2 linked regions of the Drosophila melanogaster genome follow. The protein of the gene in region 2 binds, or shares a complex with, the protein of the main gene of each other region. Each region holds a gene or a part of one and is shown on either strand. Other genes may lie near its edges.

The links.
Region 1: msl-3 (region 2) and msl-1 share a complex: the UniProt entries of both Drosophila melanogaster proteins name them as parts of the male-specific lethal (MSL) histone acetyltransferase complex.

The regions. Positions count from the first base shown.
Region 1 is NT_033779.5:18,687,028-18,690,778, forward strand, and holds the start of msl-1 (male-specific lethal 1), read right to left. Parts: upstream 1,774-3,751; 5' UTR 1,399-1,773; coding exon 160-1,398; intron 100-159; coding exon 1-99. Other genes in the region: CG10336 (uncharacterized protein), read left to right, coding at 2,767-3,690. UniProt on the Drosophila melanogaster protein: Component of the male-specific lethal (MSL) histone acetyltransferase complex, a multiprotein complex essential for elevating transcription of the single X chromosome in the male (X chromosome dosage compensation).
Region 2 is NT_037436.4:7,123,493-7,127,243, reverse strand, and holds the start of msl-3 (male-specific lethal 3), read left to right. Parts: upstream 1-1,710; 5' UTR 1,711-1,821; coding exon 1,822-1,923; intron 1,924-2,040; coding exon 2,041-2,219; intron 2,220-2,285; coding exon 2,286-2,843; intron 2,844-2,901; coding exon 2,902-3,398; intron 3,399-3,453; coding exon 3,454-3,538; intron 3,539-3,593; coding exon 3,594-3,711; 3' UTR 3,712-3,751. Other genes in the region: BBS1 (Bardet-Biedl syndrome 1), read right to left, coding at 1-975, 1,039-1,318. UniProt on the Drosophila melanogaster protein: Component of the male-specific lethal (MSL) histone acetyltransferase complex, a multiprotein complex essential for elevating transcription of the single X chromosome in the male (X chromosome dosage compensation).

The DNA of each region.
Region 1 (3,751 bases), on a different chromosome or scaffold from region 2:
CTCTGCCTGTGTCGAAGACTTCTGCTGGTGATTGGGAGTTGAATGGGCCGAAGGCGCACAGGTCTTCTCCTCCGTCGGGTCCAATTCCAAAAGGTAATTCTGAAAGAGTAAAGGATTGCTCGATATATTCTTTTAATTAAATAATAACATTAAACATACCTGATTCTGCCAGAGCTCTTCCTCAGTTCTGGCGTTTACATCCGCATCGCTATGCATCCACGGATAATCATCCTCTTCACTGTCATCGTCTTTATCACTATTCTCGTCATCTTCGTCGTCCTCGTCATCATCCTCCTCGATATGGCCGTTGGCATCCACGGACTGTCCATGCTCCTCCATATCAACCAGCTCTTCGGTGACCACTTCCATTTCAATTGATTCCAAAGCATCATGAAAGATATCGCCTCCAACGACTTCCTCGGTGTGCACTTCTTGCATATGCAGATGATCTTCCTCAGCGACCAGTTGGTCCTCTTCCTGAGATATTTGCTCCTTATGTGCCTCCATCTCGTGCTCCTCTGCTACTTCCGTTTGCTCGTGGATGTGGTGCTCGAAGTCCTGATTCATGCGCTGGAGAATAAACGTGCTCACCTTTTTACCGTTGAATTCACCGCGGCCTTTGCTCTCCGAGCGTTTGCTGGCTGGCTGATTCGTTACCGCTCCAGCGTGATGGTCCAGAGCGGGAGACTCCTTCATGTTGATACCCCTGGGAAGTGCATTCGCGAATTGAGGCTGCGCATCTATCGTTTGTGTGCCCTGTTCCCGCTCCCGAAACACAGTTTGCGTCTCAGCATGACAACGTATCAACTTCTGCTGCGGGGCAGCAGGTGGCAGTGGGGGATCATCGTCGTCGTCGTCATTGTCGTTCCTTCGCTGGTTCTTTCGCCGCAGCTGTTTGCATAGTTCCTGGTTGGCGGCCTCCAACTGAGCAACGGCCTGCTTTAATTCCTCATTCTGCGCCTTCACCACGCTCATCTTAGCGCTTTGGTCGTCCAGCTCCTTGTCCTTGGCCGCTATGCTGTCCGTCTGCTCCTGCATCAGGTTTAAGTTCAACATAACCATGCGCCTCAGGTTGTTGTTCTCCGAGATGAGCTTGACCATATCGGCGCCGGCACACACGGTTCCGCCGGAGGAAGGAGGAGCCATGGCTCCGCCACCATGCTCAGCTGGCAGCGAATGCAAAAGCTTTCGGTAGTTGTTATTACCCCCGCCATGTCCTCCACGACCATTGCCATATTGCTGGCGCTCATAGATCTTCCCGGGATGCTGATGAAGATGCTGCGTCTGATTGGGATGGCCGTGCAGATTCCTTTGGCGGCCACGCGACGGTATGTGGGGATAGGGCGATTCCAAGTAGTTGGCCCGCTTTTTGGGCGGCCACTTGAATCGCTTGTCCATGGCAGTCGAATTGAATCCCGTGCCGTCGGTCCTACGATCTCATAATTCTCCAAATGTTTTTGTTTTGTTTTGGTTTTGTTTGCGTCGCTTGGGGTGCACACAATCTCTTCAGCTGATACGCCGTACAATGCGTAGAATCCCGATTACAATTTCGCACCACACTAAATTTTCCTTGCTCGCCCTCGCAAAAGAACCGCTCTTTTCTTGGCCAGAATCTAATGGATTTATCGTTTTAAACGTGGCGTTCTTATCGCACGTGGTGACCGCATTTAGGCAGCAGTTTTTCGGTTCGTTTTTGAACGTTCTTTCACCGCTTTTTCCACAATTGTCCTCACAATGTAAAGTCGCCCCGAAAATGCTCTTAAAAGTATGGCGTTTTGCTGGCGTTGCCACTTTTCGCCAAAGCGCAGAGTTGATTGGGGGCATAGAGATGGCAATTTGCTGCGATGCACGAGCTGAGCACGACAGTCACGAAGTGAAAATATTTTCACGAAACTGTACTTTGTTGCACATAATAGCTAATAGCTAAGTTAACACGAGCCGACGAACTAGTACAGTTGGCTTAGTGTATGAAACATAATATCAAAGTGCTGAGACAGCATTGGGCCGGAGTCTTTGTTAGCTTTAAGAATCATTTTAAGTTTCAGCTTAAATTTGCAGTTACCAGAATAAAGAGCGGCAGCTCGTCAACTCCGACTAAATGTCGTTAAACACATTTTTATTTCTTACTCTGCCAGACCACAAGGATAGCAGTTAAAAGAGGACAGTTTCTCTCAACGTAAATAATAATCTTCCGTTGCTCCCCGGATAATTATTTTCAATTTTTATGTGGTATGAGTAATTGGAATGAGAAAATAGATGAAAAAGAAACTAGCTAGCTAATAATGTATTGATTTTATTTTATTTTTTTTGGTAATTTTATTACATTACCAACTCCTTTTAAATATTTCACTAAATTTAAATAACTACAATCTTTGGATGAATTATCCTTCCTTGTATAATGGTATAAATATAATAGAATAACAAAAACTCGTGACGCCAATGTGTCGCTTAGTGATAAAAAAAACGTGTCACGCTGCCATCTCTTATGTCTGCTGCCACCAATGCAAAAGCCGGGTTGGCTGTACAAATTACCTTTAGTGCCACCCACTAATGAAAATATGTCTAAGCAAATCAAAATAGCCTTTGGGAAAGACCAAATAGTTATGTAATCGGAAAATTAAAAGAACAAAGAGCTGTTCAGTTGGCAGCCCCCTGTGACTTATGCAAGCGTCGCCTGTGAATGGTAGATAGAGAAGAAGAACAAAAATTGGCGCCAAAATTTTGTTAGATTGTTTATTTGGTATTTAAGTTTCGGCCACTAGTTCTATGGCATCCCTGTTCGGAGATGATGGTGTGGATGACCTATTCAATGACAACATTCCGACTGACCCGGATCAGCTGCCCAGCGATGGCGAAGGCGAAAAGCTGTTTGCGGACGACGAGGACAACGGCGTAGAACCTGGTAGCCAGGATGCCCAGATAGTGGAGCCTAAGAAGCGAGCTGTGAGAAATCCCCGACCGCGACTCACTGTGGAAACACTTCGAGGTCCTCGTGGCATCCAGACCATCGAAGATTATTTTAAGGACATCAAATTCAAGGGCAAGGGTTACGAGAAAACCGATCTCGACGAGGTGCTTCGCCGCCTGCAGCACTGGGGCCATCGTATGTATCCCACCTACACCTTTGACGATGTGCTTAACAATATCGAACGGCTGGGCAAGAAGAAACCCCTCCAAGTGCACATGGCGCGATATCGACTCGGTCAGCTGGAGCAGATGCGCGCCCACGAAGCGGAGGCCCTGGAGGAGGCGCAGGATGAGCAACAGGAAGGTGCCGGCGATGAACCCTTTGATGAGTTCGACGCCCTGCTAGGTGAACAGATTGCCATGTCCAGGCTGGCGCCTCCCAGCCCGCAGCAGTGGAAAATGTCTACTGCTTCCAGTAACAGCACGCTGGCTACTCCGTCATTCTCCCGCGGCAATGCTGTAATGTCCACGCCGTACTCCGGTGTAAATGCGACCTTCGACAGAAGTGGAGCTTCTGTGGCTCCGGCCTTCGATCGGAATGGAGCTCCGTTGGCATCGATGGACATCAGCGACTATGGTCAGCCGCTGCCTCCCTCACAGCCTCCCACGCCGGCGGCTAAGAAATTATCCAACGAACAGATGGCCAGGATTGCGGAAAACCGCAGGCTGGCGCAGGAGCGACTTAAGGCCAAGCAGCAGCAGGAGAGCGGAAGTAAAAGTTAGTGTATATTTATGATATAAAAACGCATATTTTTATAATTTTCAAAGGATAATTTATAAAAAT
Region 2 (3,751 bases):
TATCGCCCAATGCTCGCTTGTTCGCCAAATCACCGGCCTTGGGCTCAAAGCGGGACACACGTCTCAGGATCTTAACCACGATACCACCAGATTGAGTAACGAGCGTGAGGACGTGATCCTCCATGCCCATTCGTCCGTACAGCATGGCATCCACCGTCTCCTCGAGAACAAACTCGTCGACGAGGTAGCGCTGCAAATAAAACTTGACCACTCCTCCTCTAAGGGCAATGGCCACCAGGGTGAGTCCCAGATGGGTCAAGGGCAGCGGTAGGAGGCAAACGGGTAGATCGGACATGGGCACCTGGTATAACAGCTTGCCCCGCTTTGAGTAGCACAGATAGCGATTGTCCATGGTGGAGGCGATTATCGTCTGATCGATGGGCAGCAGTAGGAGGCCGGTTAGGGGGATGCCGAGCTTGAAGATCTCCTGTCCCTCCGATTGGCTTTTCCGCAGGAGGTAGACACCGCCATTTCGCGTGGCCACCACGATGCAGAAATCCGTCTCAAAGGTTCCCTGCACGGAGATCAGGCTCGGCACGGCCGTCTCATCATCGCAGGCCTTGCCCTGGTAAACCAAATTGAAGCCCTGCGGCTCCAGGATCATGATGTGCCCGGTATCGGTGGCCAGGACCAAGTGGGACGGGGGATTGGCATCGCTGGAGATGCGCTTTATGCAGCACATGGCCACAATGTTGCCAACCCGACCCACTGGGGAGTCCTTGTGCGTGGCAATGAAGTGCTCCCGCTCCTGCTCGCCCATTTGCAGAAGTCGCTGCGATTTCCGCGACAGCTTGGAGTGGTCTATGGTTTTTAGGGAGTCAAGCAGGGCGGGATGGGCACTTGGCTTCACAACCGGCAGTTTTCGCCATACCTCCAGCTCCAGATCCTCGGAGTCCTGTGCGGGAATCGTGTACTTGAAGTATGGCTTTAGGTGACGATAGAAGAGCACTGACTCAGCGATGGCCACGGCAATTACTGGAAAATTGTATTCATTATGGAATCTAATTTAAAAATATTAAAATGCAACGTTATTTCTACCCGGCGTCTTGGGCTCCGTTTCGTCGATGTAGAGACTTTCAATGGCCGCTGGAATCCCCGGCAGTGGCTGCTCGTGCTTGAGTTTAAGACCACGGAAAACCTTCAGCGTGGCAGTGGGCTCCTCGGCGGCATTGTCCAGTGAAATGTCCGCCGCCAGCAGCCGGACATATCCGTCGCACTGCACGTCGCTCAGGGCCATGCAACTGGTGAGGGTGGTGAGATGCGGTGGAGGAGCCTCCTCCGCCGTGTCCACGTGAAGCCAGTTGGGAGCACCGGCCATGGCAGGATCTTGGTGAAAAATTTGCAGCACAGTGTGAAAACGAACAGGTGATTCAGGACATGCTTTTGTTTTGGTTTTTCTTGTCCTTAGCAACCGGGATGACAGCACATTTTTTGTTACTTATTTGGGTTTTTTCTTAAAAACACAAAATGATCGTCAGCATTATTCTTAAATGCTAACAGGGTAAAGCTACGTATAACTAAAAAATCATTTGGCAAAAGGTAAAACTGTGATCAAATTACTGATGATAGAAAATTTTATTTAAATTGGCCGCCAAAAATGCATTTTGTCTGGTCACACTTAAGGCCGGCCTGCTAAAGACGTGCAAGCATCGACAGTATGTGTTATCGATAAGTGCGAGGGAATATTCGATACCCACGTCAATTGCTTATCGCAAAAAACATTCGTTATAAATATCATCTCAGCGACGCCAGCAGTTGAATTCAATATTTAACATTTTGTATACATAAGTGACTGACTACGGCCCTATTTAACTGCAAGTAATGACGGAGCTAAGGGACGAGACACCGCTCTTTCACAAGGGCGAGATAGTCCTTTGCTACGAGCCGGATAAATCGAAGGCCCGTGTTCTTTACACCAGCAAGGTAAATACACATGCACACACACACACACGCGCGCGCATTGAAATGTCAAGCAAACGTCGTAGGCGAAGTTTTCACAAATGATTTTCCGTTTCCCGCAATTTTCCGTACATGCCGCAGGTGCTAAACGTCTTTGAGCGCCGGAACGAGCATGGCCTGAGGTTCTACGAGTACAAGATTCACTTCCAGGGCTGGCGTCCATCCTACGATCGCTGTGTGCGCGCCACCGTTCTATTGAAAGACACCGAGGAGAATCGCCAGTTGCAAAGGGAGCTGGCCGAAGCTGCCAAGCTGCAAATGTAAGATAACCCCCTAGACATGCGTGGAATACCTCTCTAACGAGTTCCCCCTTCTTTTTCGCACAGTCGTGGTGACTACTCCTACAAGGGCACACCCGATAAGCCATCGGCCAAGAAGAAACGCGGCGGAAAAGCGGCCCACGTTGAGGAGCCAATAGTGGTTCCAATGGACACGGGACATCTTGAGGCGGAGCACGAAATGGCGCCCACTCCACGAGCAGCGGGCAACCGGACGCGGGACAACAGCGGTGGCAAGCGAAAGGAAAAACCCCCGTCCGGAGATGGCCGATTAAAGGGAAACCGGGGCAGACAAACAGAGACCTTTTATAACAATGCCATAAATGATGTATCGGTCTATAACCATGTGCCACAGGAGGATCGCATTATGATGCGAGTCAGCGAGCGATTGCGAGAGCTTATAGAGTACGATCGGAATATGATCAAGGTACTAGGCAAACAGCACGCACTGCCCGCCCGCGTGCCCATCGTGACCATCATGGAAAACTTCGTCAAGCAGCAGGCCGTGGAGCTAGCCATTAGCATTAAACAGGACAGCTCGAGGGCCAGGAACACGCAGAGTCGCAATGCCAGAATGGAGCGGGAATACGATCGCGTTATGTCCACGTTGGTTACCACTCAATATCAGACTTAACAACCCACTTATACTCTTACTTATTAACAGTGTCTGCATGCTGAAGGAGGTGGTAGACGGATTGCGTATCTACTTTGAGTTCCACGTGGATGACCACTTGCTGTATACGGAGGAGAAGGAGTATGTCCACAACTACCTCACAGACGACAACATGCGCAACTGCAGCCTAATATTGAACAAGTCGTACGAGTATATCAATCCCAGCGGTGACACGGAACTGATCGGTCTGGACGGCACGCCAGTGGTAGAAGGGTCGGGCGACACCAATGGACAGATCGGAGTTATTAATATCGGCGGTCCGGAGTACGAGAAGCAGTTGCAAAAATGCCTGCTCTACATTGTTACCGCCAGCGGGAAAAACACTGCGCAGGCCTATGAGAGGACTTCCCCATATACGGCTGCCTACAAACTGCCCGTGGAGATGCGTGGATTTCTGAACGAAACATTCAAGTGGCGGCTTTTGTCAGCGGAATCGCCGCCAGAAAAGTCCATGGTCTTTGGCGCTCCCCACCTGGTTAGGCTAATGAGTATGTACAATCTTTCTTGCATTCTATAACACACATTAATTCATGGTACTTGCAGTTAAAATGCCCATGTTCTTAAACGCATCGCCGATCAGCAACAAGAAGCTAGAAGATCTACTTCCCCACCTCGACGCCTTCATCAAGTAAGTCTAAGACCCCTCCCTAGTCCATCACGAAGCTAATCTGTTGGTTTTTCAGCTACTTGGAGAACCACAGGGAGTGGTTCGACAGGGAAAACTTTGTTAACTCCACTGCCCTGCCCCAGGAAGATCTGCAGCGGGAGCTGTTGGACTCCCTGGATGGGATTGCTGCTTAGCTTTAGTTGATCGTAGTTATCTAGTTTATTTATTATTACG